Arabidopsis thaliana: one gene and its partners. The protein of the gene in region 3 binds, or shares a complex with, the protein of the main gene of each other region. Each region holds a gene or a part of one and is shown on either strand. Other genes may lie near its edges. The genes, in order: HFR1, STO, COP1 and UVR8. A codon is read from its position in the direction of its gene.

What was found.
Region 1: the proteins of COP1 (region 3) and HFR1 are in contact, whole or in part, in a crystal structure (PDB 6QTV), measured with the Arabidopsis thaliana proteins. Residues at the interface, in NP_180854.1 of Arabidopsis thaliana: Ile373 (codon at 3,392), Ser375 (codon at 3,386), Val391 (codon at 2,811), Lys422 (codon at 2,428), Leu423 (codon at 2,425), Ser424 (codon at 2,422), Tyr441 (codon at 2,371), Arg465 (codon at 2,203), Trp467 (codon at 2,197), Asp484 (codon at 2,146), Ala506 (codon at 1,474), Asn507 (codon at 1,471), Cys509 (codon at 1,465), Ala526 (codon at 1,272), Asp527 (codon at 1,269), Lys550 (codon at 1,200), Ala551 (codon at 1,197), Ser553 (codon at 1,191), Thr568 (codon at 1,146), Lys593 (codon at 986), Asn594 (codon at 983), Phe595 (codon at 980), Phe646 (codon at 716); in NP_563650.1 of Arabidopsis thaliana: Tyr57 (codon at 2,284), Leu58 (codon at 2,281), Gln59 (codon at 2,278), Ile60 (codon at 2,275), Val61 (codon at 2,272), Pro62 (codon at 2,269), Glu63 (codon at 2,266), Ile64 (codon at 2,263).
Region 2: the proteins of COP1 (region 3) and STO are in contact, whole or in part, in a crystal structure (PDB 6QTU), measured with the Arabidopsis thaliana proteins. Residues at the interface, in NP_180854.1 of Arabidopsis thaliana: Ile373 (codon at 3,392), Ser375 (codon at 3,386), Val391 (codon at 2,811), Leu423 (codon at 2,425), Ser424 (codon at 2,422), Tyr441 (codon at 2,371), Arg465 (codon at 2,203), Trp467 (codon at 2,197), Asp484 (codon at 2,146), Asn507 (codon at 1,471), Cys509 (codon at 1,465), Ala526 (codon at 1,272), His528 (codon at 1,266), Lys550 (codon at 1,200), Ala551 (codon at 1,197), Ser553 (codon at 1,191), Thr568 (codon at 1,146), Lys593 (codon at 986), Asn594 (codon at 983), Phe595 (codon at 980), Phe646 (codon at 716); in NP_172094.1 of Arabidopsis thaliana: His241 (codon at 862), Phe242 (codon at 859), Ile243 (codon at 856), Val244 (codon at 853), Pro245 (codon at 850), Asp246 (codon at 847), Leu247 (codon at 844).
Region 4: the proteins of COP1 (region 3) and UVR8 are in contact, whole or in part, in a cryo-EM structure (PDB 7VGG), measured with the Arabidopsis thaliana proteins. Residues at the interface, in NP_180854.1 of Arabidopsis thaliana: Ile373 (codon at 3,392), Ser375 (codon at 3,386), Gly390 (codon at 2,814), Val391 (codon at 2,811), Ser392 (codon at 2,808), Arg393 (codon at 2,805), Cys394 (codon at 2,802), Lys396 (codon at 2,796), Glu416 (codon at 2,446), Ser418 (codon at 2,440), Arg420 (codon at 2,434), Ser421 (codon at 2,431), Lys422 (codon at 2,428), Leu423 (codon at 2,425), Tyr441 (codon at 2,371), Glu442 (codon at 2,368), Ile444 (codon at 2,362), Thr452 (codon at 2,338), Arg453 (codon at 2,335), Gln454 (codon at 2,332), Ser455 (codon at 2,233), Glu458 (codon at 2,224), Glu460 (codon at 2,218), Glu463 (codon at 2,209), Arg465 (codon at 2,203), Trp467 (codon at 2,197), Asp484 (codon at 2,146), Glu496 (codon at 1,504), Asn507 (codon at 1,471), Cys509 (codon at 1,465); in NP_201191.1 of Arabidopsis thaliana: Arg41 (codon at 2,994), Asp44 (codon at 3,003), Asp77 (codon at 3,102), Trp94 (codon at 3,153), Phe97 (codon at 3,353), Asp129 (codon at 3,449), Arg146 (codon at 3,712), Gln148 (codon at 3,718), Asn149 (codon at 3,721), Ala181 (codon at 4,208), Glu182 (codon at 4,211), Trp198 (codon at 4,259), Arg200 (codon at 4,265), Tyr201 (codon at 4,268), Trp233 (codon at 4,771), Arg234 (codon at 4,774), Lys252 (codon at 4,828), Tyr253 (codon at 4,831), Trp285 (codon at 5,132), Arg286 (codon at 5,135), Trp302 (codon at 5,183), Lys304 (codon at 5,189), Trp337 (codon at 5,661), Arg338 (codon at 5,664), Tyr407 (codon at 6,145), Ala408 (codon at 6,148), Val409 (codon at 6,151), Val410 (codon at 6,154), Pro411 (codon at 6,157), Asp412 (codon at 6,160).

What each region holds. Positions count from the first base shown.
Region 1 is NC_003070.9:465,103-469,828, forward strand, and holds HFR1 (basic helix-loop-helix (bHLH) DNA-binding superfamily protein), read right to left. Parts: upstream 2,779-4,726; 5' UTR 2,584-2,778; coding exon 2,582-2,583; exon of another isoform or gene 2,451-2,581; coding exon 2,084-2,450; intron 1,985-2,083; coding exon 1,856-1,984; intron 1,696-1,855; coding exon 1,630-1,695; intron 1,146-1,629; coding exon 831-1,145; 3' UTR 514-830; downstream 1-513. Other genes in the region: AT1G02350 (protoporphyrinogen oxidase-like protein), read left to right, coding at 4,716-4,726. UniProt on the Arabidopsis thaliana protein: Atypical bHLH transcription factor that regulates photomorphogenesis through modulation of phytochrome (e.g. PHYA) and cryptochrome signalings. Suppresses the transcriptional regulation activity of PIF4 by forming non-DNA-binding heterodimer.
Region 2 is NC_003070.9:1,827,827-1,831,840, forward strand, and holds STO (B-box zinc finger family protein), read right to left. Parts: upstream 2,158-4,014; 5' UTR 2,040-2,157; coding exon of another isoform or gene 1,940-2,039; 5' UTR 1,863-1,939; coding exon of another isoform or gene 1,834-1,862; coding exon 1,651-1,833; intron 1,482-1,650; coding exon 1,161-1,481; coding exon of another isoform or gene 1,131-1,160; exon of another isoform or gene 1,079-1,130; coding exon 836-1,078; 3' UTR 514-835; downstream 1-513. Other genes in the region: AT1G06030 (pfkB-like carbohydrate kinase family protein), read left to right, coding at 1-88, 170-304; AT1G06045 (uncharacterized protein), read left to right, coding at 1,696-1,862, 1,940-2,039; AT1G06050 (ENHANCED DISEASE RESISTANCE-like protein (DUF1336)), read right to left, coding at 2,900-3,841. UniProt on the Arabidopsis thaliana protein: Acts as a negative regulator of seedling photomorphogenesis and light-regulated inhibition of hypocotyl elongation. BBX24/STO and BBX25/STH function as transcriptional corepressors of HY5 activity, leading to the down-regulation of BBX22 expression.
Region 3 is NC_003071.7:13,976,248-13,983,905, reverse strand, and holds COP1 (Transducin/WD40 repeat-like superfamily protein), read right to left. Parts: upstream 6,026-7,658; 5' UTR 5,907-6,025; coding exon 5,589-5,906; intron 5,250-5,588; coding exon 5,172-5,249; intron 5,038-5,171; coding exon of another isoform or gene 5,034-5,037; coding exon 4,878-5,033; intron 4,621-4,877; coding exon 4,270-4,620; intron 3,700-4,269; coding exon 3,542-3,699; intron 3,448-3,541; coding exon 3,382-3,447; intron 2,855-3,381; coding exon 2,776-2,854; intron 2,486-2,775; coding exon 2,330-2,485; intron 2,234-2,329; coding exon 2,135-2,233; intron 1,529-2,134; coding exon 1,424-1,528; intron 1,282-1,423; coding exon 1,102-1,281; intron 1,017-1,101; coding exon 906-1,016; intron 795-905; coding exon 624-794; 3' UTR 297-623; downstream 1-296. Other genes in the region: AGO6 (Argonaute family protein), read left to right, coding at 7,050-7,232, 7,320-7,525, 7,623-7,658. UniProt on the Arabidopsis thaliana protein: E3 ubiquitin-protein ligase that acts as a repressor of photomorphogenesis and as an activator of etiolation in darkness.
Region 4 is NC_003076.8:25,553,899-25,561,273, reverse strand, and holds UVR8 (Regulator of chromosome condensation (RCC1) family protein), read left to right. Parts: upstream 1-1,774; 5' UTR 1,775-1,858; intron 1,859-2,289; 5' UTR 2,290-2,686; coding exon 2,687-2,780; intron 2,781-2,967; coding exon 2,968-3,154; intron 3,155-3,345; coding exon 3,346-3,492; intron 3,493-3,704; coding exon 3,705-3,786; intron 3,787-4,177; coding exon 4,178-4,333; intron 4,334-4,740; coding exon 4,741-4,914; intron 4,915-5,119; coding exon 5,120-5,191; intron 5,192-5,431; coding exon 5,432-5,503; intron 5,504-5,636; coding exon 5,637-5,755; intron 5,756-5,938; coding exon 5,939-6,024; intron 6,025-6,115; coding exon 6,116-6,168; intron 6,169-6,372; coding exon 6,373-6,453; 3' UTR 6,454-6,858; downstream 6,859-7,375. UniProt on the Arabidopsis thaliana protein: UV-B specific signaling component that acts as a UV-B photoreceptor and plays a key role in establishing UV-protective responses in plants.

The DNA of each region.
Region 1 (4,726 bases), on a different chromosome or scaffold from region 3:
AGCCAAGCCTTATTGAGACAAAAGGATATGTATTTGTAAAATAATACGTATATAAGTGTGCGCCTGTGTCTGTGCGTGTAGAATTTTTCTTTTTTTATATATAAATATGAATTGTGTCTCGAGTTTCGGACGTAATATTTCTTGTGTGTGTATTTACCTAGCTCAGAAAACAAAAGAAAAGAGATTATTACTCACAAGTCACAACTTTAAAACAGAAAACATTTTGAATTTTCCACAAAAAAATGAATATATCAACTGTGGAAAAGCGATGTGTAAACACAAAACGCAAATCAATAATTGATGTGTAAGAAAGTGATTAATAATTCTCGAAGTCAAGTTTCCTCATTTCTTCTTTTGATCTTTTCTCATACATCCGGCCCTATATTTGGCAGAGCCACATCCTAACTTCTAAGTAACATGCAGTGTGCAGAGGTAAGTTAATGTTACTTTTTGTACATTAACATTATCATAGTGTATGACCCACTGGTCCTGAATTTGAGATGCTGAAGATAAAGCTAGTTGGGATGCATGTAACCAAGTGTAAACGTTTGAGACGCTTAAGAATCAGGGAAATCTTGTTCCTACGTTCAATGCTCTTATAAGCATGTCTCAATATATTTTACAAAATATCAGATAAATGAAAAAATTGTTACATGCAAGAATTTATACAAAAAGTTTTAACTTATTGATTATTATTAATATACAAAACCACCCGGAAAAAAAAGTATATGACACAAATGGTTCACACAAACTGTCCTAATTTGGAACTCTTTTCTCTCTTAATTAGTCAACGATCATTTCACATAAACTTTTATCGAGCTACTTACTTATCATAGTCTTCTCATCGCATGGGAAGAAAAATCCAAGAAACTTGGGAAATAAGGAACCAAACCGTGAAGAGACTGAGGAGAAGAAGCTGGTGATGATGTTGTAAGAAATAGAGATTGACTAGATGAATGTGGGAATGAAATATTAGTAAACGGTGGTAATGGCCAATTTAACGCCGGAATTAGCGGCGATGGCATCATGTGATTCGCCGGATTTAGGCCGTGAGCCGAAGCCATTGCCGTCAGCATGTGGTTGTGCATTCCAAATCCTAATGTCGCCGGAAGAAAATAAGGATTCACCCCCACTGTTGACATCATCTGCAATTATAACATCAACTTTGATTACAACTTAGTTTCTGAATATAAATAGCACATATACATATTCGAATGATCAAAATGGGTACATAGTTCTATAAAATATAAAACATTTAGTTGGCACTAAATAATCACATGAAAAGAGATGAATTCGAAATATTAAAGAAATTCTATAGACTTCACCATCTAGGTTATCTACTGCCTACTATATATCATTCCATTTTTTTCGTCACTAAACACCAAAAAGTGGCTATATTTGTTTGATCAATTTGAAACCCATATTGTAAAACAATAATCCATATCTCATAAGTTGGCGAGTCAGATCGAATACCAAGAACAGTTTATGTCAACTAGTTAAATTAACCAAAAAAAAACTCAGACTATTAGATAAACACTTAAAACCTCAAGCCTCAATAATTCAAATATATGGAAGAAGAACACTGAATAAAGTGTGAAATAAAAATAGTGAATAAAGTTAAATATAGACCTGAAGTTGAAGTTGAAGGTTTTTCATATACTCTATGGTCTTGTCGAGAACCGAAACCTTGTCCGTCTGAAAACCGTAAAAAAGCACCACCCGTTATCAGAATTGGAAACTTAAGGCAAGATTTCTTCATATATGCAACGGAAGTAGCGGAAACTTATACGGAAAAGACTAGACACTCAATAGTTAAATTGAAACATTATATAGAAGGATCTATATACACACCAACCTTGTGACAATTAGGTACGAGTTGCTGTAGCTTACGCATCTTATTACTCATCTTCTCGTCTCTTCTTCTTCTCTTGGAACCTTTTCGAGTAACTGAAGGAACTTCTCTTGTAAACTCCTCCGATTCATCCTAAATTAATTAATTTTATTTATAGAAAGAAAAAATTAAAAACAGTGAAAAATGATAATACATAAGGTAACATGAAAATATATCTATGTATCGACTTACATCACTACTTAAGACCTGGATACGACGTTTTTTGGGGTTCTCATGTTTGTTTCTCAGATAAAATCGATGATCTGATCTCTCTGAAAAATCTTTAATATGATGATGATCATCAGTTTCAGAATGTTCATCAGGGACAACAACCAATAAATCCTCCTTCGCATTTTCTACTTCTTTATGAATCTCTGGAACAATCTGAAGATAATTATCAGTTTGATCATGATCAAAGTAGCCGTAGCCCCATTTTAGACCGTTGATTAGACGATCTTCATCACTTCTTGCTCTTTCTGACATCATGCCCTGATCTTTCACAGCAAGTGATCCGACGTCGTTTCTCCATCCCAATTCCATGAAAGCTTGATTATTCGACCTGCCAAGAAAAAAGTAGTAAACTATTAGGGTTTACGATACAAATCATTGATAAATTATTAAAGAAATAAATAAAGAGAATAACAAGGCAAGAAACCTAAACTCTGAAACCTCCTGTTTAATTATACTTACATGTTAGTTAAAGAGATATCGGAGATGAAAAGTTTGGAGAAGTGTTTTTTCTTTAGGGATTTCAGCTTTGTCCGAGAAAATGGTATCCCATACGCTTATGTTATAAGAGCGATCGGATCAGATAGATGGTATAGTTGTCAGCTACATTGGTGACCCACTTATATTGTGCCACGTTTCAAAGTATGTGTGGTTCGTTTGTTGCGTACACCGACAACAATAAAACAATTCGGCTAGATTCTAACATACAGCTACACGAGGTTATTATAGACATATTGATGTCATTTGAGTTCTTTGGAAACAATACTTTTTTGGATTCACAACAAACATTGTAATGAAAATATTGTTTTACTAAAATAATTAATACAGTAATTAAATTAGTTTTTATTTTGGAAAAGTATTGTCAAATAATTCCATTATCACAAATTCACAATGTACTTAAATGGATTATTATTCTGCTTATTGTTTTTATGATTCTATACGTAATTGTCCCAAAACTACGTCATAGTAGCATATATCGACTTTAGAGTAATCTTGAAATTTTGCACAGAAAGATAAAAGTAATCTTGATTAATCAATAACGTCACTAGATTCACTACCACTTTGACACATGAACATAGAGATAAATTTATCTTTGTACGTATAGAATGTATTCATTTATATATTGAGATTTGAGAGACAGTTTAATAGTATTTCTTAACCAAGAACTGTAATGCACAACGGGTAGGGCCATTTTTATCCGTTTAATTATTTTTCCCGTAATCTTATCGTTTATCATTGAATACTCGTCATTAAGCTTTATCTTTATATATATATAAAACAATGTAAAATATCGGATGTCTATTTGTTTATTTTTGGTCAGATCATCTCTAAATATAAAAACAAAAAGATGACGTCTCCGTTTGGAAAAAAAAAGGTTGACTACCACAAGTTTCATAATATAATCGACAAAAAAATATCGTCTGTAACAACGATAAGATTATTCGATCTCCCAATTGGTAAATTCGTTATTATGAAAGGCTTACAAAATTCAGTAACCAGCAATCATAATAATTTCAGAGTTATGATACTAGAGTTCACTTTTTTGTGCAATAATATAATGGTCGATTATTTCCAGCCTGAGAATGCATTTCATTTCATGACCATTTATGGATTCCTGAAAAAAGAATTCATTTAGGGTTTTATCCAAAATCCCACGTGGGTTGTGGGCTCTAAACCAATCCTATAACGAATCAGTTTTTTTTGTTTTCTGTAACCCCACGACACATTTATTGGAATTTTAGAGTCACGTCATCATCAACCATACACCGAGCAGGTGCGATGGTCCACATTATTACTATCTTTGATAAAAAAGGTCCACACTATTTTCCTTAATTAAAAAAAACTCCAATAATTACAACATATTCTGAATAAACAAAAATGACCTGGTTACTAAATATCAACAATCAAAAAAAAAAAAAAACAGTATCAAATTCTAATTTCGAATTAGTAGAACAAAAATACTAATTATTATTATTCAATTGACTAATGAATGTTAACTTTGTAGCGTTGAATCAAATGGGCCTGAAAAAAATCGAAAAAGAGAGAGAGAGAGGAAGAAGAAAAGGCGTGTTCACGTGATGCCCTCGTGATGGACATGGTGCTATGTCTGACACTTGGGTACTTTATATTTTGTTGGTGTCTTAGCGAGCGACGAAGCAAAACCACAGCCACTACATAGGTTTCCAATCTCCTTCACGACAACGACCTCTCGGAATATACGTTCCAATCTACAACTTCCCACTGTTCAATCTATTTGATATTATGGAAAAACTTTGCATTATTGATTCTTATTTTAATATTTTTCTCTTGTTCCCACCGTTTTGGTTGGAATCATATACTATACGAAGTACTATTTGTGTATCTAGTGGTTGATTGACGATTTTTATTTTTGTTGTACATTAAATGCAGCATCTATGATCTATCTATCTTCTTCTTTTTTTGCCAAATAGAACGTTATCTTTACTGGGCTTTTAGGTTAGCCCATGTAATGTTATTAACCCAAATATGAATTTATTAAGGGCCCATCAATGAGGAGTGAAACATGTTAGACAAAACTGAGAACAGGCCTCTACTTCTTCTTTTCGTAGCGATCGCCATGGAAATATC
Region 2 (4,014 bases), on a different chromosome or scaffold from region 3:
TGTTGACGCTGTGGATACTACTGGAGCTGGTGATTCTTTTGTTGGCGCGCTTCTAAACCAGATTGTTGATGATCAATCTGTACTCGAGGTTAACTCCCATTGATATTGTGTGTCTATTCAATCAACTGAATATTGTTGATGATATTTACTGATTTTTCTCGTTTCTTAGGAGGAAGAGAGATTGAGAAAAGTGCTGAGATTTGCAAACGCTTGTGGAGCAATCACGACGACTAAAAAGGGAGCCATTCCAGCTCTTCCTACAGATTGTGAAGCTCTCAGTTTTCTTAAGATACAAGTAGAATAGTAAAACTTCTCTTCGAGTCCAGAATTCTCCTTGTCTATTGTAATAATCTGTTCTGGATTCTTCCTGATGATTCTGATCATTTGTAATGTTTTTTTTTTTTGGTTCTCTCTCTGTCTTTTCTTTTTCTTCTTCATTGTATTGAATAAAACAGACTTGTGACTTCTGAGCTTTTCTTGCTAATAGAAAACAAAGAGTTTTTCGTAGTTGTTTGGAACCGTAAATTGCATTGAGGATTGTTTCTCAAGGCTTTGAAAACAGAGTAATAATCAGGAACAAACAAAAAAAAACCAAGAAAGAACAGAGAGAACACATTTAGTATCAAGTTTGTAGCATCAAAGCATTAAGCATAGACCATGTTCAAGAGGTATGAACAAAACTCAAACACAGACATTTGTTATAAGCTCTCAACATATCTTACACAACTTAAGACAAAACTAAAATGTATATGACATTAACTCCACACATGCAGATAGGTTTCTTGTTTGTTCTTTTACATTGAAGAATGTCTACACATAGATTACATATAGCTTTTTAGCCAAGATCAGGGACAATGAAGTGTTCCTCATCATCATCATCATATCTGGTCTCAAACCTCGGCTTCTTGTGTGAAACATTTGACTTCATAGGTTTGTATGAATGAACATGACCTAAATGCGAAACAGAAAGCTCAGGAACTTCAGCTGCAGGAAGAGCCTTGTCATTAATCTGATCACCGAAGAATCCCATGTCTGAAAACCAATCCAACTCCCCTGCCCCAAGATCAAGCTGTCCTTTCTGCTCAATTTAAACCAAGAAGTCAATAAAAGCTTCTTGCAAAGAAAGTGATCTAACATTGAATCTCAATTCTCATCACTACCTTGTCGGTGGATTCAATATCAGAGAAGTGAAAGAAATCGTCAACAGCCCAGGGAAGTGGAGTAGCAGAAGAAGGTTGTTGTTGCTGCTGGCTTGTGGATTTAGCAGGAATCTGATTAGCCTTCTGTTGGTTGTTGGAAGGCTCAGGTTGATTCTTCTCAATTTCTTTACTACATATAGTTGAGGTCAGAGCTACTTTGATCCCAGTGGCTAAGAACCTCTGGTGATTAGCAGATCGAGAATTAGCCACGTGGATGGATTCATCGCAGTCCCTGCAAAGCAGAGCTCTATCCTCTACACAGAAAATGAAAGCTGCCTTCTCCTACAAGTCATAAGAACATAATGAGCAAACCCTAGTCTTAAACAACAAGGCATACATACAACAGTTGCTACAAGATCTATAAAATCACAACTTTGCAACAGAGCAGATTCAAACTAACGAATCCATAAAATATTTGACAAGATCTAATGAGATCTGTAGAGAAACTTACTTGGCAGATATCGCAACGAGGGAATTTGGTGGAGAGGGAATTAAGATGAAGACGTTGGTGCTTGCTAGCGAGTTTGTTAGCGGCGTGAATCTCGATGTCGCATTGAGGACAGAGAGCAGCTTCGTCGGCGCAACAAATCACCGTCGCCGGAGCTTTCTCACACACATCACACTGTATCTTCATCACCGGATACAAGAAACCAAAATATCTAGGTTTCTCAAGAAGGAAACAGAATGCTTAAAATGAAGGGTTTATTGCTAGTCTGGCTTCTCTTAGAATAGCTTAGCAGAAGCGTAGGTTCAGAGAAAGAGCTTAGAGAAGATGAAAGAACAAAGAGGGAGAGAGTGTTTTGTGGGGAACAAGTAGGTGGGATGAGCAATTGGTTGTGAGTGAAAGAGAGAAGATAAGGATTTGATGAATCTTGCTTGTTGCTTTGTTTTCATTATTCTGCGTATCAAAAGGAAACACTCTGCTTCTTACAGCAAGGTCTTGCGGGTCCCACTCTTTTTCTGTGGCTCTCCTTCTTCCTCTCGTCATCTCTCCTACCTTTAGATATTTTTATTATATTCACACTTTGCTATTTTATATTCTTGTTATTTTCTCACGTAGTAGAGATTTGTGTTTTGTTTACTAATCTAGTCAAAACACATTAATTTTGACTAATAAACTAACTTCAATAATTCCACCACCACTAGACTTTTACGCTCCTTTTATATGATATGCTCGAATTTCAAGTCTCGTGAACTTTTACGATTTCAAGAAAGATTTGTATACAAAAATGGGCTTCATCTAGAAAGAAAGAGTTGGGTAATGGTATTACTCAAATCAGAGAATATTACACGACTACACGTAATCTTGAAAATGACATGTGAATTGATTCCTTGGAATGACGACATGTTATGTTAATATGTACCATTCGATCAGATTTTTCTTCTTCTTTCACTTTTTCGTTTTCTCAATCATAAAAACGATTAATGCAATCATTAAAAATATACTGGCATGTTAACTAACAAAGAAATGAATGCTTAGCCCGTTCGAGAAAAAGAATGATCCTAAAAGACACCAATACAAAATTAGGCATGGTTGGTCACAAGAATTGTTGTTGGATATCACATATCCATCCATATTAGTAAAAACCAATCTATACATCTGTGGTTTTTTTAAAGAATTGACAAGTTTTTGTTTCTGTTTTTTGGTAATGAAATCGAACAAATTCAAAGAATTGTGAAGTTAATAACTCCCAAAACACTTACTGCTTCTGTACATGTTCATCCTTCTGGATGTCCCCATGAGAAGTATTGTTCATGTTGGCCGTATCTTGATTAAGCAGATTAGAGAATCCATTTCCAATCGATTTCCACCAGCTCGACCGCTCTGAGGTAGTTTGATCCCACTGGTCATTACTGGTGCTTGAGGACAGTTCGATAGATGTGGCTGACTCGGTCTGCAGCTCAGAGAATCTCACAGCTCCTAGTAGCTTTTCTGGAAGCTCTGCTTCGGTCTGACTCTCAATGAGGAACGCAAGATCAACTGTCAATGTAGTAACGTAGCCAAATGCGAGATGAACAATGGCACTAGCGACCATTGAAGAACCAATATCGACATCAATCTCCACAAAGTTTTCCCCTGAAACATATTTGCAAGAGAGTGCACGTCCAATCACACAGATCGCTTGCTCTCCAACAGCTTTTCTAACAATCCAAGGGCCTTTGACAATGTTTGCAATCAGTTTAAGCCTCGATTTCTTGAACCCATCATCTCCTTTCAAAAACCGATCCATCAGGGAGCCTTCAAGGATAGGCTCTGTGGTAACAAAGTAAGCCACAGCACTGTAATTGTCTTTGTGAGGAAGCTGGAGATTGAATGCCCAGACAAAAGGCTTAGTTCCATCTTTTTGAAACTCCTCATCGATAACTTTCCTGATTCGGCTGCTTGGATAACTCAGGATCTCAGAAAGCTTTTTAGGACCTTTAATCCAATCAAAACCCAGAGGCTTTAGAAGGAAATCACCAGCAGGTATCTTAACTTTGTCAGAGAAATACTTTGGTCCTCTAACCATAAATGTGTCAGGAGATGGCGTCGTCCAACCATTTTTGCAGTTGTCGTCTGGCTTAAGACATGGAACAGCTCCCTCTAATTTCACTCTCTTAATCCATTCTGGCTCAGTTTCCTCACCAACAGAGCCAGCCATATCTTGCGAAAACCTGCAACACAGAGCTTAAATCCTTGAGTAAAACTGAGTGTGGAAAACAATCTCATGGATTCTACTTAGTGAATATAGCAAACAAGAATATGCCATCAAGAAGACCAAAACATGTGATCAGAAAACAGAACCATGTATGTCTGAGGCTCTATCTATTCCTC
Region 3 (7,658 bases):
AAAGACGAAAACTAAAATGTTTGGCCATGTGATTTAAACTTCACAAAGCATGCATGATTTTATATAGACATCATGCCATCCCTAGTTGCGTATCCAAATTTAAAAGGGTTACTCTTATAGTATTGATACGACCAATTTATGAAAATGTGTCACACAATCACTTTGTTATGAGTTAATTTAGAGGTGTTAAGTAATTGTATATAATTTCACTTATGACACAAATTCGTCAATTCTCATGAATTTTACATTATAAAATGATTTTTTTTTTTCAATGATCTTGCTACATGAACATACTAATGACTTATTGCATGGGTCGGACCTTTTGTATAAGCCAAGGTTTGACTTTTCATGACCGATTCACATCACCGCATTTTGATTCTAACATTTAATTATATAAAGTAGAAGCTAAGAAACCGTAAGACATATCTACATCACTGATACAAATTCTTCTTGAGGAGTGTTCCAAGGCAAGCATAATAATACAAAGTTGCTTTCCAAATGATGAACCCTACTTTTAATAAATTGTTCTCTCTCTATATGTAACTCCCACTAAAGAACATAGACGGCAAATTTGTTTTTATTGATTCACGAAGCTATAAGATCTTTTGTAATGTCTACTAGAATCACGCAGCGAGTACCAGAACTTTGATGGTTCCTTGACTATTCGCAGTCAACATCGTGGGACTATCACTCTTCCAGCAAACCGCACTAATAAAGTAGGAACCTGCCTCTTCCTCTGCATCGTCCATGTCTGGCGATCCAAATCTGTGCGATGTCACGGGTCTCGTGATTTCCTGCATCGCATCATTCACATTTTAAAATACTTGAGCAACGACAGGTTGAAAATCTGTGAATCATGAATGAAAAATGCTAAAGTTGAGAGCAGAGGTTTCGGATTTGTGAACCTTGTGATATACATATACTTCGTTTGTCTCGCTTCCACAGGCGAGATACTCGCTGTTCACTGTGAGACCCACAAAGTTCTTCTCGTTAGTATGTCCTCTGAATGTTCGAACCTGAAAAGTAAAATTGAACAACATAGTCAAGACAAGTTTTTCTTTTTGACTGAATCTGCAAGATTGGCTCGGGCAGTAATCTAACTGGCAAGTTGTCTTTGACATCCCATAAGCGTAGTGTGCTATCTGTGGACGCAGAAGCGAGCTCGTTGTTGGACAAAAATTTAACATAGGAAACTGCTTTCTTGTGTCCACTGAAGACATGAAGTGGTTGGCTTATGTTTCTTAGATCGTAATAATGGATGTGATGATCAGCTGATCCGACCTGTGATAAGTCAACAGGCTTAAACGTCTAAGTCTCTCTATCTAATTAAAGATTATATCTAGAGACGTGTGATAGTGTCATGCTGATCATGAGTGGTAGCGAATAAATGTGAGATGCAAAGTTGAGGCGTGGAAGTATATACCGCAATGTAGTTGCTTGAGCCAGGATTGTACTTGACACAACATATGTTTGCTTTCATATCAATATTAATCACACTTGCTTCCTGCCTCGTGCACCAAACTTTAACCTGGATCAAACACACAGCACAATTGGTTAATCTATGAGACATGATTTAACAGATGCAATAATGCATGGTTGAGGATTAACTAGTAGTGAATTGACTTAAAAGGAGCCCACTGGTATAATATGCTTTTGTCAGAATTAGAAATCCAGTGAATTTTTCAATAACGTTTAATTAAATTTGGACAAATGAAGCTACAAAATTTCAAGGTAAAATCTACTATATACAAGTGTCCAGTTTCGTTTGTTTCCTAATGTATAGCCACCACAGATACACTAAGGGGAAAATTTTGCTGAAAATTTAAGAAACCAACAAACATTCAATGTAGGAAGGGCTACATATGACCAATCCCCAAGTTGGGAAGAACAACTCAAAGAAAAGTTTAAGAAGTAGTAGAAAAGATTCATGAGAACACAATGTACTAATGAGCAAGTAGGAGATTCTCCAGTTTTGTTTCACAATATGTCTCTTTAGTTCGTCGTAGAAATTAGACAAATCCGTGACCAAGTTAGTTATAAGAGCTAGGAGATATCTAAAAGTAGTATTCTTTTTATATGAGACATAGCCCAATGTGAGATGAAAGGTGATAACGGAAAATATGGAGATATTTACCTTGCAGTCGTCACTACCAGATACAAGCATTGATGGTTCTGTTCGTGAAAAGTCAACACTCCAGGCACGTTTTTCGTGCTCTTCATACTCCATAAGACTCTGCCTCAGTTTACATAAAAATTCAAATACGCTGCAGAATTCATGAGATGAATATCTTATAGGTGCGATGTTAGATACTTTGGGTAAAGTACTCACCTGCCTAGTAGTTACATCCCACACTGTTACTATTCCTTCATAATCACTGCTTGCTATGTGATTTTTTTCATGCTTATTCCAACTCAAGCAACTAAGTTTAGACCGAGTTGACATCTCCACAATCGGACACTGCATATCTGCTGGTTCATTTACAACCTGAAAAGTAGCAGCCGATAATCAATCAGTTCAGCGTGGTCCATTGGATAAAACAGAAAATTAAAACCAAAAATTTGATTAGCTTTGATTTATATTCTTCTACGCAATACAAAAGTGTAAAATGGCTATCTTGCATCAAAGCTAGAATTTCCCAAGAGCATAACTTAGTTTCATTATCAACGAAGCTTTCTTAGAATTGAGATGCATGATCAGTTTCACAAAAGCATAAGGTTGGACAAGAAGATTCAATTGGTATGTAATTGAATGCACTCCAAGATTTATGAACGTACCGAAGAGAAGTCAAAAACCTTTATACATCTAGAAACACCAGCAGTGGCAAACAGCTCATCATCACGATCAAACTCTATGCTGAAAAGGAACAGCACCCTCTTCATCAGCAAAATCAGTAAGATGGTACATCAAATTACAGGTAAACTAGAGGTCCAGGCAAAGCATAAAGCATGTAAACTATGGAAGACCATAAACCAAAGCACATAGAGAGAAAAAGATATGAGCCCCGGAGCTCCCAGACCATAAACTAAAAATATATATCTTTCGTCTCTTCATTGAGAAGAGACACTTTCATATAAAAGATCGCAAACCGATTCTATATATTCCGACATGGATAAGGATAACATAGTGTTCCATCTTTTAGAAAATTCTCCTCAAGTGGCCTGCTGACTACACAACCTTCTCCCTACCATGTCAGCAGTTTTATCTTCATACTATTCACTGGCTTAGAATTACACAGCAACGAATCCCATAGTAATAATTGCGTCTATCAATACATTAAACAAAACTTAATCACTTAAGGGTCTATTTTGATATATTCGGAGACATTCTTTTGGTACCTATCATCTGTTATCTGATCAACGAACAAGGAATAGAAAATTCACCTTGATACAATGTTGGCTGAATGAAATATATCCCCATGCCGGATTTCTGCTATAACTCTTAGACGACTGTGAATAAAGAGTGCAATTAAAACCCCAACTAATTCGAAAACACTCTTTATGTACGGCTAGACCGATTGAAAAGGGATAGTCACTCCTCTACCTGTAGCGAGTGAAGGTAGTCAACACAGATTGAAAATCTGCAAGGCCGTTGCTATAGCCTTCCCTCCGTACTACACTCTTATCATTTTCTTGTTTACTATTTGGTTGGTCTGCCAACTGACGCCGCTTTTGGAGGTAACATTCTTGTAAATCATTGAACTACAAGACAAGACACTTTAACAGAATTAGGCAATCTGTGCATATATCAACAAGCAGTTACAGAGAGATTAAAGGACCATGCAGGTTTTTTCAAGAAAACTACTATAATTGTGATTGCATAGTATTCACAGAACTGTTAGTGTGTCTAGAGAACATAGTGACTTTTTGTTGCTATAGTACCAGAGAGACAAGAAGCGGCTACTATCACTAAGCAGTAGATATAAAGTCCAGAAAGCTATTTCTACTTTTACGTGCAAACAATACGAAATCAATCTCTCTGAAGTCCAATCGGCTTTTTATAAAGACCACCAAAAATGTGGGCCTTAATCTAAGGTATCTTTTCCGTAAGAAGATTCATCCTCTACCCACAACCACTTTCAATTTCTCGAGCTGTCAATCCAGATGACCAAGAGCTGAGTAGCTAGGCATGGTAGTAACTGTAACACAATCACTGGGGCCTAATTGTAGTAATTATTCTTATTCTTTAATAGACAAATATCTTAAACTTTAATGCCATTGTCCTTTTACCATTTCAGCATAAAGATGTTGAGTAGACAAGGAGGAACAAACCTGAGCATGAATCCGTTTCTTTCTAGCCATTGAGACAGTTGACTGATTCAAACTTTGCGAATCTGACCCACTCAGCGCATCCTTCTTTGGTAGCCCATGAGAGCTTCCTTGTGCCTTCCCCTCTACCTTTTTGTTTTGATAATTGCCTACAAAATTTCCTCCTCTTATGCTGAGAGAATTGGAGTTGAAACCAATCTGGTTCTTCTCATGTGGCCATGCATTTCTTGTGCTTGGATCATCTCCGAGCATCCGCAACTTTACAGAATATCTGTCCCTAGCTCGGTATAAATCTATTCTATGTCTCTCAACGGCATTTATATCTTCTTTAATATACTGGAGATCAGTTTGCACCTACATTAAGATAGAGAAGACATAAATGACAGAATTCTATAATATTCTGAGATCTCATCTAACATTCAGGGGTTATACGTCTCATGAATAGTTGGATAGATCATACATCTATTGATAGAAACATGGTTTATGGCTTTCTTTTACAACAACTATACAGTCTAAACCCAGTGAAGATTTTGAAGCAAATGGAATGAAGAGCAACGAGAATAATTATCAATAGGTAGCCCAATGCTACTCCATAATTCAGACAAACCAACCTCATTTAGTTCATCAACTTTTTGCTTCCTTAGACAATGCAAAAAGTCCAAAAGTATCTGCATGTTCCTCTCAGCTTCTTCCTGTTCCATTTTTCTCTTCCTTTCCGCAAGAAGTGTCAGAAGATTATCAACCTCCTTAATTGACACATCACAACCCTGTCTAAGTATGAACGCAGGAAGTCAATATTTGATCAAAAGAAATGACTTAGAATTGCTTTTTACTCCAATAATAATTCTGAGAAAGCAAACTTAAAGAGGAAAAAATGAAACATAAAAAGCTTGTTAAGAACCGACCCTTTGTAGTGCTTCCCGAAACTGATCCAAGGGCGATGCAGTTTTTGACACATGCCGAGCTGAAGTTTTCTTCAATAGCTACACAATTGATACATAAACGTCATATAATAAGCTGCATTCCAGTGATAAATAGTTTCAATACACTATCATTCCTATAAACATGCTTCTATTTAGCTGTAATAAGCAGAATCCTACCACAATACTACACATCAAAAACAAAACAAAACCTTCCTAAGAAAATCTAATGGCAAGGTTCATTGGAATCGATTAAAGACTAAGCTAGCTTACTTGTTTCCACAAAAACCACGACAAAAACCAAACTTGATTACAAGCTAAGACTCAAACAAGCAACACCCGAACTTGAACTGAAAAGCTAAGGACCAAACACAAATTACGAGTAAAATTAGAAAAAGAAACCTTATCGAGCAAGAAATTAGGGTAAAGCTGATTATTGGTGAGGTGTTGGCTACAACAGGGACAATCACTCTTGTTCCTAAGATGTGTGATGATACACATATAGCAGAAACTATGACCACAAGCCGTGAGGAAAGCATCTTTAATAATCTGCATACAAATCGGACAAAGCAAGTCTTTATCCAGATCCGGTGCTCCAATCTCAGAACCGCCGCTTCCTCCGTCGTCATTTTCATGACGATTAGCACCTTCACCAACTGAAGATGTTCTCGGGTCAGGTTTCACCGCTGGAACAACCGGATCCGTCGAAATCTCTTCCATTTTGCTTTCAAAAGATTTCTTCGATTGTGATTTTGGTTTTTGAGAAAATCGGAATTGTGAGAAAAGAGTGGTTTGGGTATGACGTCGGAGATGAAGGAGGAGTGAGGCTGAGGTGTGGTGGGATCCACCGTGGTTCTTTTCTGAGGTGACAAATCCTACACGTTCTGGTCTACGCGCTTCTTTTCGCGCGTGTGTCTGGCGTTTCTCCAAGCGCTGGTACGGTTTAATTATCCGGCTTCTAATTTATAGTCCGGTTCAATGAAATTTCTTACAATTACCACGACGGTCTAATTTAATTTCTTACAACCATTCATTTTATTTCTTACTATTTGAAATGAATAAGTTGGGAATTTCAATCCATTCAACCGGAGCATAACCCTAGAAATAGAATAAGTTTTGAAGGATTCGGTTTAATAATTTTGGAATAAACCATTTTTATTTCAGTTCTTAAATTTTGTTACTGTAAAAAATGACTGAAAAGTGAAATATATTTTAATTTTCCCATCACTGGAAACGTTCCCTCCATTCTTTTGCTTGTCTGGGAAACCCAAAGAGACTGTGACGGAGAAGAGAAATGAGCTAAATAAATTCCTCTCTTTGATTCACCGGAACCCTAGAAATCCTCTTCTTAATTCTTTCAAAGGTGCGCTGTTTTCACTAGATATCGCTGTTGTAATTGTTGTTGATTCGGAGCTAGGTTTTGTTTTTGTCTCTCTTTCGGAGAATTTGCATGAAGCTAGGATTTGTCTGTTGATAGTTGTATGGTTTTGGCTGCGTTGTTTCTCTCTTGAAAGTCTTGTTATGCTACTGTATGACACACTCGAATGAGTTTTTGTTTGTGTAATGTTTCTCAATTTTGAAGGCGACCAACAGTTAAAGGTGCCATTTTTTTTCCAGATTAAGTTTGTTCCTCATCTGAAATTTATACCATTTCTCGCGATTTAGCAGGATATGCCCAGAAATTAAAATCTTAGAACGACAATGGTGGTAAAGTTTTTAGCTTTTTACCTTTTGGAGTTGTCTTCTTAATTTGGTGTTTTTCTTTTCTTTCTTAGTCTCCTGAGCATTGTGTTTTGGACTGGTTTTTGCACACTGTAACCAACCTCCACTTTTCTCTCTTGCAGATTATTTTCCCCTGGAAGGATGGAGACATCTTCATCTCTGCCACTGTCACCCATAAGTATAGAACCAGAACAGCCCAGCCATCGAGATTATGACATCACAACTAGACGTGGGGTTGGAACCACAGGCAACCCAATAGAATTGTGCACCAATCACTTTAATGTTTCTGTGAGACAGCCGGATGTAGTATTTTACCAGTACACTGTAAGATTCATTAGTCACTTTTCTGCATTCTTTCATCAGTGTCTGTGCGTGTGTGAGATGTTTGACATATCGGTACCTTTTTTGCAGGTTAGTATCACCACAGAAAACGGTGATGCTGTTGATGGGACAGGAATAAGCAGAAAGCTTATGGACCAACTATTCAAGACTTACTCTTCTGATCTTGATGGTAAAAGGTTGGCATATGATGGAGAGAAGACTTTATATACTGTTGGTCCTCTACCACAGAACGAATTTGACTTTCTAGTCATCGTGGAAGGGTCATTTTCAAAACGGTATGTCCCTCTTATCTGGATTGATATTTAATCGTTTCAAGGTGTCAAGATAGATCTTGTTGATCTTCTAACTAACGCAGTCTTGTTAAGTTTATAGTGATTGTGGTGTCTCTGATGGTGGTAGTTCTTCCGG
Region 4 (7,375 bases), on a different chromosome or scaffold from region 3:
TTGCAAACATAAAATGGAATCAAATGTAAAGAAAAGAGATGAAGAAAATCATTTGTAGAATTCACATTTAAGTTATGTATGGAAGATGAAGAAATAAGAACCATCTTAAATCTCATGTAGTTCTTAGTTTCTTGGTTCCTACACGTCTTATTTAAACCTAAATCTTGTAAGATTTTGCTCTGTTTTGTCAGGTTAGCCTAAATCTTGAGAGGTCAAACTTGCAGTAACTTTCATTGTATAGAATTGCTTTTAACTGAATGATAAATCGAGTAGTAGATTAGTCCAATGGAAGTTTGTGGATCAAGTTATGTGTCTGTCGGCATTATAGTTTTCCTTTGAAATATTGACACATTACTAGAATCTTATCCAACAAAAAATTGTGTGGTTATGAAAATCCTAAGTAACGAGACAGCTTATTAAATGCCGAATTTGGTAGCAATTTGTTCAGATGAATGTATGTCTTCTTGTAAAAGACAGTATGAAGTGGAGGTTGATGCTAACTATCTTATGGTTCCTTATTGCACTTTGAAGCATTTATTGCAATTGTTTTCGGTTTTTTCTCTTGAGTGGGCTAAACTAATAATGGTCTGTTCTTTCTCTAAAGAGAGAAGAATTCGACAGGAGCGTGAAGCATCTTCATTCGCAAATATAACACATTAAAGCTACCTCTAGCATCATCTGTGTGATTCTCTCCAAGGTCATTCGTTGTCTGTCACGGGGCATCTCAAGTAATAAAGCTTAAAGTTAACTGTCTTTTCAGCCAAATAGTTTCATCATCTAAATATTCACATGATCTTCCATATTTCATCACCGATTATGGTTACAACATTTTTGCAAACCCTAAAATTTGTGTTATCGCCAAACTTGACCCTTATACCGGAACCCATGTGGGTGGGTGTTGATTTTTACTGTTTTGTAATTTGTTCATCGACAATCATTGACATGTACTCACCGCAATGTTTTTTCTTTCCTAGTTTCATGTGCATATATGTCTCTAAACAGTAATTGTTTAGCACTTCATGTCAAGCTTAAATTATTATAGGTGTCTTATCTTGTCTCTCTAGTATTTTCTGTTGAAGTCATGTGCATTAAATTGTATATAGTACTTCCAATGGCTTTCATATAATTTCCATTTTTCCACAAATTGTTCGTAATGATGTTTATTTAACAAGATTATAAAAGATAATGCAACAAATTTGTGTGATGAATGATGAGATGAACCCATTTGAAAGAGGTCGCAACAAATGTCAACATTAGAGACCATCTTGATCTAGAGTTTTGTCTCGTTGACTTTAATGCCAAAATTGGACAATACATATAATGCATGTATCAGGCAATGCAAAAATATCTTCATTCATTTAATTTTCTTACTATAATAGATGTCACAACTTCCCTCACTGACAAGCATATAATGTTGGTTTTATCTCAATGTAAACAACCTTTTAGTTTCACATAAATGTTAGGTCGAGCGAGGTGATATATTCGTTCCAGATCGGATGAAACAAGTAATTCATCGATGTTACCTTTATCCATATGTATATGTAAGATTATGGGTTTTAGGTAATCTAGTAAGTACTACTAAGTAGTATCCGTATGTAATTTTTTATTTATTTTTATCCGTTATGTATAATTTCTTTGGCCGTTTTCGCAAAATCTATATTTGGATGTTTTAGATCGTGAATTGATATATCTTAATTTGAATATTTAGGTATTCATATATTTTGAATCTATAGTTGACCTGTTGACCATGTATTTTGATTTGAATATCTCGCTCGATCGATAGAAGATTTTTTTTTGTTTTTGTTTTGTTGATAGTAGAATCTTCAAGTTGTAATTTAACAAAAAAAAAAAAAATCAAGTTGTAAGTAGACCGTATATCTGTATATTTCCATATGTAGAACCATGCATTTTGAATAATTGAATAAAATAACATGTAGCAAGACGTATCTTCATATGATAATCAGAATCATAATAAAAAGACAAACTGTACACCATATTGTAATCCAGGTTTAATTTGACCTCTTTGAAAAACTAAAATAGCTGAACTGAATATTTATAACTAAAAAGACAAATTGGATATGTCACTTTGGACTATGAAACTCAGAATTTTTTTTGACTAACGTGTATACTTTCACACGTGTGCATGACTAAAAACATATGATTAGGCTCTTACGATCTATGCGCCTTACACCTGTGAATGATGAACACATAAAACACAAGTTACGATCTAGAATGTCATGTGTACTGGCTTAAATCTACTTATGTGAAGAGGTAAATGAAATGGTCAAGAAACAAAAAAAAAAAGAAATGGTGAAATTATGAAAGTATAAAACTTTACCGGTGAGGTCCGTATTTGGATTTATTAAGTGAAGAGGGACCCTTTTGCAATTAAAGCCTGTACGACAAAAAAGAGATTTACTGTACGGTTAAAACAAAAAATAAAAAAACCAGCAAAAGTAAAAAAGTCAAAAAGCAGATATATGACATGTGCAAATCTCCATCGCGCCTTTATTACCATCTACCGCTTTCTCTCTCTGTCTTTCCTTGTTCAACCCTCGAGAGATTACGGATAGTGAAAGAGAAGCTACAAAATTTCCCAATTTATCAAAAAATAGAAATTTCTTACTTTTTTCAAAATTCATTTCTCCCCAAAAAAAATATCTTGTGAAAACTGCAACTGTGATCCATGGCGGAGGATATGGCTGCCGACGAAGTTACGGCTCCTCCTCGTAAGGTTCTTATCATCTCCGCTGGTGCTAGCCACTCCGTCGCTCTTCTCTGTACGTCTCTCTTCTTCTTCGCTGTTTTTTTTCCTTTTCTATTACGGACTCAAATAATCACCGGAATTGTGAAATCCGCTGCTTTAGTAGGCTGTGCTCTTCGCGAATTCTCTTGATCTGGCCTTTAATCGAGTTTCCCTTACTTTCGTCGTCTACTAATGAGTAGTTTTATGTTTTGATTTTGTAGCTGGTGACATTGTTTGTTCTTGGGGTCGAGGAGAGGATGGACAGTTAGGTCATGGCGATGCAGAGGATCGACCTTCTCCGACTCAGCTTAGCGCTTTAGATGGCCACCAAATTGTTTCCGTTACCTGTGGTGCTGATCACACTGTTGCTTATTCACAATCAGGCATGGAAGTCTACAGTTGGGGATGGTTTGTTTCTCATCATTATCTTCTTCTTTGCTGCTGAATCAATTGCTCTTCAGTCTGTTTGATATATTCGGGATGAGATGATGACCACTAGTTCCTCTCTAGATTTTTGTGTAGAAAACAGTAACTAATTATACACTCATTTGCACATATTTTAAGCCTCGTGTTCTCTAACCTTTATGTGTACTTTGCAGGGGTGATTTTGGGAGATTAGGCCATGGTAACTCAAGCGACTTGTTTACTCCGCTACCAATCAAAGCATTGCACGGTATTCGGATCAAGCAGATTGCTTGTGGGGATAGTCATTGTTTGGCTGTCACTATGGAAGGAGAGGTCCAGAGGTATTTTCTCTTTGTTATTGTTCTTCTCCTTATGTGCAATCATTTACAGTTTACATCTCAGCTCAATTAGATGAATTTCATCGGAATTTGATAATGTCGATTGCGTCCTGTGTCATTTCTATATATCTTGGTTATTGTGTACATTGCCTTTTAAACGTTTTGTCTGTCTTGTCTTGTTTTCCAACATATCTCTTTGACTTCTGTTTATACAGTTGGGGCCGCAACCAGAATGGTCAACTTGGTCTGGGGGACACCGAAGATTCTCTAGTGCCTCAGAAGATTCAAGCCTTTGAGGTTTGTATCACTAAATATTCTTCTAACATCTTTTTTCGTTGTAGTTTCCTCAACTTGCCAAATACTATGCTTCAGAATTGGGTCAATGTTGGGTCTATTTCTGCAACTTGATCTTCTTAAACATATGACTGTTACTAGTTAAGGGTCCACATCTGGTGAAGATGTCTTCAGAATCATAATTTAAGTTACATAATTTTAGGAGTGGTAGATACTAAATTGGATGTCTATGTGTTATACTATCTGCAAAACACAGATAGAAGGTAGGATCTTATTGATAATTTATCGGACTAGGTAAACTAGAAGATTAAGTGATTAGAGACCCTGAGTTTATGTTGTTAGTTTCGCTGATCTCCATTGTTACATCAACACTTTAAACTTGTAATGGGTGCAGGGAATACGAATCAAAATGGTTGCTGCTGGTGCAGAACACACTGCTGCAGTTACAGAAGATGGTGACCTCTATGGATGGGGCTGGGGAAGATACGGAAATTTGGGATTAGGTGACCGGACTGACCGCTTAGTTCCTGAAAGAGTTACCTCTACTGGTGTAAGCTAGAAGACTCTTGTTCTATAATTTTTGTTTAAGCACCTGCTACTTGTTTAAACTTGCATTTGAAGTTCAGTATACGTGAAAGAAATCGTGAATAGCTCAATATGCACTGCACTATTCTGGATTAGCTGTCTATATTGATGGAGTCACACGTATATGCAGTCTAATTTCAGTTGGTGGGTGTCAGGGAAGTGACCATAAAACTTTTAGAATGATCAAAGTTTGGTATCCTGAATCTGCACAGTTCATGAAATGAAATTTAGTTCATATAACATTGATATCACGCAACCTCACCTTTTTACCAACTTCTATTTCTGCATTTTAGTCCCTCAATTTTTTCCTTAATTCTCTTTTCATTTCGACTCACTTGACTCTCGTTTTCCTGGTTGTAACTACAATTTTAGGGTGAGAAAATGTCAATGGTTGCTTGTGGATGGCGGCACACAATATCAGTTTCCTACTCTGGAGCATTGTATACTTATGGATGGAGCAAATATGGACAGCTAGGACATGGAGACTTGGAGGATCACCTTATTCCTCACAAACTGGAAGCACTGAGCAACAGTTTTATCTCCCAGGTTTCACTTAGGCCTTATAAATCTGTCTTGAAATACAAATTTGTACATCTGAAATATCCAACATATGGGATAGCAATAATATGTTTTTCGAAAACTTTCTGACAACTATTACCTACTGAAGAAGACTGGCTTCATTGTATGTACTTCTGTTGGTTTTCTTCTTCTGTTCGACATCTTTTGGACTTACTGTTCGTTTCTTTTCCAGATTTCGGGAGGTTGGAGACATACAATGGCATTGACTTCAGATGGAAAACTATATGGATGGGGTTGGAATAAGGTCTAGAATGTCTTGCTTTTTTTTTTTTTTTTTCTGGCCTATATTTCGTAGAAATGTATAGAACACCTATTTTCATCTACACATTCACTGATATTTGCATTTAGTTGCTTTATGCTGTTAAGGAGTGATATGCATTCACTTAGATGTTATTTTAAGAAAACAACAATGCATATATTGGGTAACTTTAGTAACTCATCTTGAATAAAACAAACTTCTAATTGTCTCTCTTTTAGCCTGCAGTTTGGACAAGTAGGAGTCGGCAATAATTTAGATCAGTGTTCTCCTGTGCAAGTGCGATTTCCCGATGATCAGGCATGTTATCCCTAAAAAAGTTTAACGAGAAAGCTCGTCCCAATGTTTTACCGGCTATATAATCATATTAATAAGTTCATGTCTCAATTCGCTGTTTTCTTTTCCAATGCACACATATTGTGGAATTTCACAGAAAGTAGTTCAAGTCTCATGTGGATGGAGACATACCTTGGCTGTCACTGAAAGAAATAACGTGTTTGCTTGGGGTAGAGGTACAAATGGACAGCTCGGCATTGGAGAGTCGGTTGACAGGTAAAAGTGTGATCATCTAATCGCTCATGAATCAATGTTTTCCACTTAACATATCTTGGTGTTACGAACAGAATATGAAAATTGGCCAGTAAGATCGTTGTTTCCACCAAAATCATTGCTTTTCAATCCCACTCACTACCTATCTTGATAATGTGAAATGGATATTTGGTTTGGTGTTTATAGGAACTTTCCCAAGATTATAGAGGCACTCAGCGTCGATGGAGCAAGTGGACAACATATAGAATCTTCTAATATCGATCCATCTTCAGGTATTTAAACAATACCACTAGTTAAAACGATTTCTGTAAACGACTCAACAAGTGATTAAATGATTCAACTTTTGCATTGCTTTGTTACCAGGGAAAAGCTGGGTGTCGCCTGCAGAGAGATATGCAGTTGTTCCTGATGAAACGGTAAGCCTTAATTTTGTTAATTCTACTAAACTTTATATCCAATACGTAAACTACAATGAAAGCAAATGGCACAATTATATCGGCTTAGAACCAGATTTTACTGATTAATCATTGCTGCACAATTATACCTTGCTCTGTCAAGATCGTGGATTGTTTTCAAGGATGAAATCTATGTGTGTGATTTTGAATTTGGTTGTGTGTTAGGGCCTAACGGATGGTTCAAGCAAAGGTAATGGAGGTGATATCAGTGTTCCACAAACTGATGTCAAGCGTGTACGAATTTGAGCCTGAGTCAATTCCGTTTTTTTTTTACTTCCGGTTCTTCCGTTGGATTCGAAGGTTTTTCAGTGATCTCTTTTGGGTTGAGGTTTGTACTAAGAGTACGTCTGTCTAGTTTGGGATTGTACTTTTTGTTGTTGTTGTTAGTTTGTAACTTGTGATGCTTCCCTCCCCCTAGCTCTCTTATTACATGGGCGTTGTAAACTGTGTGTACTACTACTACTAGTCTCTAGGGTATGTACTTTTTTTTTCCTCACCATAATAATACCTTCTGGTTCTATATCTTTCATTTCTTAAAAAGTTTTCTGTTTTTTCCTTCAACCATTATACAACTTATGTTTTAAGAGAATTTTCTTTTTGTCTTATTTTTTTACCGCCTATGTTTGAATTCAAATATGATATGATTGATAGTGACCCGCTGAGTTTTAGAGTATTTGAATTTTGGAAAAAAAAACAATTTTATCAATCAAGATCAAAACTTAAGAAGAACAGTGATCACAGATTAACAAGTTGAACTTCTCCTTTTTTATCAAAGTGTGAAGCGCAGATGAGAACGAGAGTAGTATGGGTATTTTAGTTTACAACTTTTGGGTAGGTTAGCCTTTAGGCCCAACACACAATGCATGTTTCGTATTTCTATATATTCTAGTCTCAATACGAAGAGTCTAGAATACGAAGAATTTCTAATGGACTAAGTGATGGATATGTCAAAAAGAAAAAAAATTGATCCTTCATCATCCGCCAACCTAGTTATGCTGCCTAATATATTTGGCGTTTAGTGAAAATTTTCTATTGGGTAAAACTTATGTGGGTGATTCTCTTTAAAGCAAAACCATCCATATTGCTCTTTTAGTGTTTCTCTTTATGTGTCGGGTTTCTTTCCCTTAAATTATTCCAAATCGATGTCACTTAGATTCGATTCCATGTT